Linked DNA regions of Styela clava. Each later gene encodes a partner of the first gene's protein in a complex. Links are inferred from orthologs where the notes say so. Each region holds a gene or a part of one and is shown in the gene's direction. Other genes may lie near its edges.

Region 1 (3,757 bases):
GTAAACCTTATTTGTTCTTCGGTGGATAGGATTTTACATATTTCATATTTATCTCAGGGGAGAGAAAAGCCCATAAGACGGCTTAATCATACCAAGAAGTATTTTGCTTACAGATGAATGGGCTTGATGGCAAAGAAAGCTGTAACTGCCTAGTACTGTAGAAGTTACATGATCAACTATTAAGCCCGGCGGCCAATGACGCGGGGTCCACCAATCCTCCCACACATAAATGGAACCTGGGAACCCACACAGAATAATCAGAAGTGCAATGACGAGCGCATACCTAACTCTTAGCATAGTTAGCCCTCATAGATGAAGCTGTTCGATATACATTACTGGTTTTACTCTCTCCACACTCAGCAATGCATGCATTTTTTTTATCATTCAGTCATTCTCAATGATTATGTTTGTACAATGTGTACCTTCGACATGAGATGAAATAAACTACTGACTGACATAATAGGATGAACCACAACCGTAAGGTATTGTTCAGTTGTTGGCAGCACCGAAAATAATACCTGGGTTCGCAGTCGGCATAAAAAAACTAAAAAAAAAAAGAATCATAAATTCACCTCTCCAGCTTTGTCAATTGAATGCTTTTTGCGTTGTCTCGTTTCCATTTTCAATTCCTATTAAATATTCTCCAATTTAAGATGATATTCAGTAATCCAATCGTTTAAACTTTGAATCTATTGCTGCAATAAAACCAGCAAAATTCTTTGAAAAAGGACAAAACCTCAGCGACACGGAAAATGACGATTTGTTTACTTTTCAATTGATTGACAGTTAATTACTCAACCATGGCGAAGGGCGTATTTTTGACGTCATCAAGTGGCGCATAGTTAAGTTTATTTTCAATAACAAATCAGAAAATAAACATTAAAAATACGATAATATCAGCAACAATAAAAAAATAAAAATAAATAAACTGAAAAAAAAAGACTATGTAGAATTTGTGCGAGAGGTCTGGACTCTTTGACGTCGCAAGCAAGCAACCGCTACCGGTAGTCGGTTACCGTTACCGTATCCTCTACCATCAATTCCAAGCATCTGAAGCAAAATAACTGCCTAATTCAACTAAACTAATCTCATACTCGATATGGGCTGGTAACCTGACGAGAGCCCATGGTTCACCATCTGATTAGGACCAATCATACCTTTCCTCTCCCTTCGGATAAATACGAAAATCTTATCATATGCTGCATAGCGGGGGCTAGCGTAATTAATATTGATATTGCTGGTTCTTGATTGTAAATTATTAAAAAAATTATTTTAAAATATCCTATAATGAACATGTTTATACAATACAAACACTTCCGTGATTTTGTAAGATTTATTTGACGTCACTACTTCACGCACTATTGCTCTTCTGATTGACACAAAGACACGCTCTGCTTCTCATTTGCCACGAATGCACGATTTTCGGAGAGCGAATCTTGTAGATTGAGCGTCGTTTTTTGTCTGACATTGGTGAGTTTTTGAACAATTTATAAGATGGAAAAGTTGTATTCTATACCGTATTCTGTACTTCAATTACCTAATTTAAAACTGAAGAAGCCATCATGGATTTCTCAACCATCAGCGATGACCGTTTTTGCCGCTGTGATGGTGTCTTATTTTTTGGTTACGGCAGGTGAGATTTCTGGATTTTCTGTTTTTGAATTTCGTTCTAGAAGCATATTGTTAAATGCGGATGTTTTTCCGTTATACCAGGAAAACATTGTGTTGCGTTAAACTGTAATTACATTAAGGGCGGCCCAATGTCACTTTTAGACTTCACGAGGTACAGATTTAGCAATGCAAGCCATATTATAGAATTATACATATTTTAGTAACATTGTTAGTATGTCGAATTTCCTGTACATTTTCTCATCTACAAACCATGTTCTATCCATTTATTTCACACCATGTATTGTGTATTATGTAGAAATGGGTTTTATCCGATAAATAAAAATATATTGTTCAAAAGAACAAAAGAAAAAGTACACCCACCTTACGGGCTGTTTTTGTTTTAGGAATTATTTATGATGTCATTGTTGAGCCACCTAGTGTTGGACAAACTGTCGATGAAAGAGGGAACGCAAAACCTGTTGCCTTCCTGGCTTATAGGTCTGTATCCTATATTTTGAATATTCCTCTTTAATCTACACCATGAAATTTTTATAAAGTGTTTTTACACCTAGAATCTGAACTGAATTGCTGGACTCTTTTCCGTTGCAGGGTGGTTCACGTAACCGCTGGTCGGTTACAGCTTACTCCACCACGAAGTGCATCTGAAACCAATACCTGGCTAACTAATCCCATACCCGATATGTACTGGTTACCTGACAAGAAGCTGTGATCCACCATAACGGCTTTTTTTTTCTCCAGGATAAAAATGTGAATCCTATCTCATATACAGAGTCCACAATATGTCTAACTATATTACCAGTTCACATTGCCACCCAATTTGTTACACCCTGGGTATCAGTATTTTGTTTTTTCACCATACAGAAATAATGTGATGTGGTAAGCATGAGATATGTAAGCTACTTGAGATATATAACTTGGCCGTAATTCAGACCCGTTATACCCAAGATCAACACTACTCAATACGGATTCTTCTAGGGCTTTTATCATAGTCTCATTTCTGTACAAATTTTCATATTTTTGTAAATTCAAAATTTAAAATGCTCCGTCTGACTATCAGCGTAGGTCTTGTGGTAATCTGGCCTCACTCATGTGTATCATGCTTACTTAATTCTACATACCGTATTTGCTCATTTTGTAGCCTGGGCCCATATTTTTTTAACCAAACTCACTAACCGGGCCCTTATTCAAGCACGGGCGCTTTTTATTTTTAAAGTAAAATTATACACACAAATTACGGTATCTTTGAAAACAAATAGTTGACGATATCAATCCTTTTTCCATGTCAATTAATTCACGTCAAACGCACGTTGAAATGACGCACTTGGGGTTCGCGACGCCCGGTTTAAGAACCACGGTGTTACGTAATCAATGCTATCTGTTATGTAATTGGACGCCTAAGGCGTGAGTGTTATCTACCAGCGCTTAAAATTCAACAGGGTTGTGACAAAAGCCCTGTTATTTCCTATTGTTTTCTACCACTGAAAAATCAGCTTTTACATCGGGCGGGTATTCGAGCACCGGTCCTTATGTATTTTTATGTTCTGTTCACACGGGCAGCTATTCAAAGGGACCTTATTCAAGATCGGGCGTTGAAACGAGCATATACGGTAGTCCCAGTAGCTCATGAAATTTTAGTGGTTGCCTGTAACTTTGCTTACAGATAGTCTTCTTTCACTCTGGGCATTTCAGTGCCTGTAACTCTGCTTATTTTATTCTTTTTAATTTTGACAGGGTGAACGGTCAATACATCATGGAAGGTCTTGCGTCCTCGTTTCTTTTCTCACTAGGTGGTGTAGGATACATTATCTTGGATAAATCAAACGCTCCGAACATTCCAAAACTCAATCGAACCCTTCTACTTGTGATTGGCATGATTGCTGTCATCCTCAGCTTTTTTATGTCAAGAGTTTTCATGAGAATGAAGCTACCGTGAGTTGAATTTGTTTTCTTTTTACGACAATTATTCACCGTTTCACCTCGAAATAGGCACTAGGCTACATAAGCAGCCACTGTTTTCTAATGATATGTAAAGAGCTTCTTTATGCCGAGGGTCTCCATTTTTTGGCCCAAAATTTCTGTGGCCTGGGAAAACTACAAAAAAGCAAGAAATTCTTTCCGCAAAAAT
Region 2 (3,757 bases), on another chromosome or scaffold:
AAAATATATACAATATACACAAAGTTAATTCGTATAGACTGGAGGGCCAATTGTCTATTCTGTAGTCTGATCTACTTTCTGATGTGTACAATTAATGCTGTGTACTGGACGGTAGTTACGGTATATACAGATATAGCCTAGTTGTAGAAAGATCTGAAAACAAGATTTTGACAGCATAAAATGACATGGTGCTATTTCTCGCGCAACTAAAGAAAATGCATAGCGAACTTATTTAAGACAGAAACGCTATTGTACTATGTTCATGAGATAAATAAAATAACACATTGGAGCAATAAAAAGCTCTTGCCGTAACTGTAACACAGAGCGATTCATACAAAAACTTTCCAATTTAAAAATCAAGCTCTACGTAGGCAGAGCACATCAGCTACTTACAGAGAATCTTCAGTTGTGGTCTGAAAATTACGTATCTTGAATTAGCGCAAATTTTTACTTCGAATGACAGGTAGTACAACAAAAAAGTAGATTTGATATAATGGTAAAAAAAAATTTTTGCTCATTAAATAAGAAATATTAGTCTTATAATTAAGACGAAAGCGTTAATATGTGAAACAAATTTAATAAAATTAGGAACTCCAATCACCACATTATTACGAGCACTCTACTGCCCCAAGAGGATATTTAGGTGCTACTAAAAACTCCAATTTTGACGATAATGAAACAATTTCGTAGAATAAATCATTAAGATTCAATCAAGATTATTTTTTCTAAATTGAATTAATGTAATTTGAAATATTATTTCAATGCAGACAAAAACGCCGCAAGGGATAAAACTCCGATACGCACCAATTAGCACGCCACATCATCAAGGGAAAATAAACAAACCGGTATTTTGTCGGCGACGTCGTGGCATTTATTCGCGCCGCTGTGTTATGTTGCGGTCCCGGCTTTTTTTTGTTAGTTTTGTAATTCGCTTTAATTTTGCTGCATATATATGACAAAACTATCTTTAAATTGAGAATATGAGCTAGGGATTTTGCGTATAGGGACTCGGTAGCCGGTGGCTGCGCTATTTACTGGTATTGCAAACTTAAGTCAGTAGGTTGTATAGTTCTCTGGCTGTAATTAAAAATGCTAGAATGTGCGTTTTTGCCTTATACCGTATGTTTTCATTCAAAATGAAAAAGCAGGTTTACTCATGCTGCCATGATATCACTATATAAAATGCAGTAATGTCAGAATCTCAAAAGGGTTTGCAGACTTTTTTTGAGCCACAAGGCGGTTCAAGTTATGAGTTTGATTTCCGGTCAAATCGGAGTTGTTATAAGTTATAAAGTTTATTTCGACTCCATAATCAGCAATAGACGATAATGTGAATAATACATGTTAATTTATAAAAATATGGAATGTCTGTGGACGGAAAATTCATTTCTGTAACTAAGCACTTGAAATTTATTTCTTAACTGTTTTAGAATTAAATAACGTATTTAATATTAAAGCATCCAGAAACTTTTAATCTAAAAGTCAAAATGGGTGAGAAAATTTTGTTTTTAAAATTTTGAAATATTTTCCGGTTTTTGGGGAGTAGAAATCTGCAATTATTTTAAGCGTAAAATATATTTCTATTATTCTCCAACACTTGCATTTTGGAACTATTCAGACTAGTTTTGCTTCAATAATATATCGATGAAGCCGGAAAGTAGATAATCAGATTCTTTTTCCTGTAATCGAGATTTAAAATAAAAAAGGGAAATTTCAAATTTTGAATTATTTTTATTTAAAATTATTACAGAGGAACAGGTGTTCTTTTAACCTGCTATTTAATCATAGTCAAAAGCAATATTTCAATGTTTGTTAGTTCATAAATATAAATATATTTTTATTTTCTTTTGTAAACAGCTCTTTCAAGTTTACAGCCCTCAAAATCTTCGATCCACTTATCAACCTTATTATTTACTCTTCCTATATTGCAGGTCTCGGCACAACAAACTCGTTTATTGTCTCAACCTTTTTATCTGTCGTTGTGTTTTCATCAATGCAAGTATTTAAGGTGAGTCCGAGCTATTAATCAAATTTTGTCAATGAGAATATATAATACTGCACAATCTTCTCTTTAACAATGTTCAAACCATACTTTTCGTGGGCTTAGTTATTAACCGTTAAGGTGTAATGTATCCCTGCTTTATGAAATAAAAACAGCATTTATATAAATTCAAACGAAGCAGTGGAAACTTGAGGAGTGATCTCACACACTGAGAAATGTAGGAGATTAATCTCTTAGCAAAGTTACTGTGGCCACTTAAGTGCCAACAACTGCCGAGGCTTTAAGCCAGGGTTGCAAGTCATTGGCGGGCCGCACATATTTAAAAAAAGTTAAAATCCGAACGGATGATACTTTTTATAATAAAAATCAAGCAGTGATACATCTCTCGAACAGAATATAGATTTATTTCCTCGAATTGCATTGCATCTCGAAAAATGCCAATCGTATACTTTCGGCACCATCGAACTCTTTGCACTTAGCTTTGCCTTTTTAGCGTTTTGTTGCCATTTGTGTAATTATAATCAAGTTATAGGATCATTAAACTTGTAATTGTGAATTGTATACTTGTTAGGTTTTAATATAGGTAATTTAGTCTACACGTTGTTACTTAAATTCAGTGAAGCGTTGCGGGCCAGATTATATTACTCCAAGGGCCGTAGGTTGCCTACCCCTGCTTTAGGTAGTTCATGCCAATACAAGCAGAAAAACAGCTATGTGGCCTCGTTAAAAATAATCAAGACTGGGTTGGAATGATATACATACTTCCGCAAAGAATAACGATCATCGGTTTTTGACCAGAATAAATTTTTTATATTTTACGCATGTCATTTTTAGAAATAAGTTTACGCTAATTTTCAGGAAACAAATTAAACAAATTCCTCAACATGTTGATAAAATCTTTCTCTCTTTTCCAGGTCCAGCTTGCGTCATCAGAATGGTTTACTATCGGCGGAGGAGTGCTCGGCTCTCTTTTGTTCTGCTGCTTATTAACAGCTTGCAGTAACTTGGAAATGATGTTATTCGGCGACATGTTTCAAGCTAAATTTATTCCTGAGGTATTTGGATGCCTCGCTGCTGCATGTTTTGCGTCTGGTCTTGTTCACAGGGTCTGTGTAACAACTTGGTGAGTTGCGCTTTAACATATATTGGATTTTTCTGTTATTCTCTGTCGAATGTACTTCACAAAAATGAGTTTCCTAAAATTTTATGGTACTCAAAAGAGCTCATAAATAACGATAGCATGTTCATGAAGATGTTTAAATCTCTCTGTTACTTGTAAATATTGACAATCTAGATAAATTTGTCTCTATTGCTGCTAAATCACATGAGAGCAATACTGAAAACTTATAAAGATGTTCCCATAATTGGAAAGAAATATTTCTGCGAGAAACATGCAGTTCCTTAACAGCAAAAAATTACTTAAAACGTAATGAATAACTTCAGAAGCATTTTGAGAGTAAGAAATTATAACGTGAAGATTTCTTTGTTTCATCCTGACATCCTGTGGCTGTATTATCCAGTTTTGTGAGAAATATCTCTAAAACCAGAGTCAAGTCCAAGGTTTTCCTAACTGGGGTCCGCAAACGTCTTGGATGACTGCACTGGGGTCCAGGATGATGTGAAAAGAGTCGAAATGATTTTTAATCGAAATGATTTTAATCAAAAAGCTAGTGCATCTTTTTGTTTGAGCGTTGCGGACAAATATCCAGTGCTATCGTAGATGAAACATTATCTTTTCCCGTTGGTTAGGCACAG

The links. Proteins that work in one complex are often made in the same cells at the same time.
Region 2: oligosaccharyltransferase complex subunit ostc-B-like (region 1) and dolichyl-diphosphooligosaccharide--protein glycosyltransferase subunit KCP2-like share a complex: the UniProt entries of both Drosophila melanogaster proteins name them as parts of the oligosaccharyltransferase (OST) complex. The link is inferred for Styela clava from reciprocal best matches to the Drosophila melanogaster genes CG9662 and CG31460.

What each region holds. Positions count from the first base shown.
Region 1 is NC_135260.1:2,438,769-2,442,525, forward strand, and holds the start of oligosaccharyltransferase complex subunit ostc-B-like, read left to right. Parts: upstream 1-1,395; 5' UTR 1,396-1,494; coding exon 1,495-1,633; intron 1,634-2,015; coding exon 2,016-2,109; intron 2,110-3,363; coding exon 3,364-3,561; intron 3,562-3,757. Other genes in the region: phosphatidate cytidylyltransferase 2-like, read right to left, coding at 573-620. UniProt on the Drosophila melanogaster protein: Subunit of the oligosaccharyl transferase (OST) complex that catalyzes the initial transfer of a defined glycan (Glc(3)Man(9)GlcNAc(2) in eukaryotes) from the lipid carrier dolichol-pyrophosphate to an asparagine residue within an Asn-X-Ser/Thr consensus motif in nascent polypeptide chains, the first step in protein N-glycosylation.
Region 2 is NC_135264.1:15,861,463-15,865,219, forward strand, and holds the start of dolichyl-diphosphooligosaccharide--protein glycosyltransferase subunit KCP2-like, read left to right. Parts: upstream 1-1,409; 5' UTR 1,410-1,487; coding exon 1,488-1,491; intron 1,492-1,931; coding exon 1,932-2,008; intron 2,009-2,916; coding exon 2,917-3,125; intron 3,126-3,757. UniProt on the Drosophila melanogaster protein: Subunit of the oligosaccharyl transferase (OST) complex that catalyzes the initial transfer of a defined glycan (Glc(3)Man(9)GlcNAc(2) in eukaryotes) from the lipid carrier dolichol-pyrophosphate to an asparagine residue within an Asn-X-Ser/Thr consensus motif in nascent polypeptide chains, the first step in protein N-glycosylation.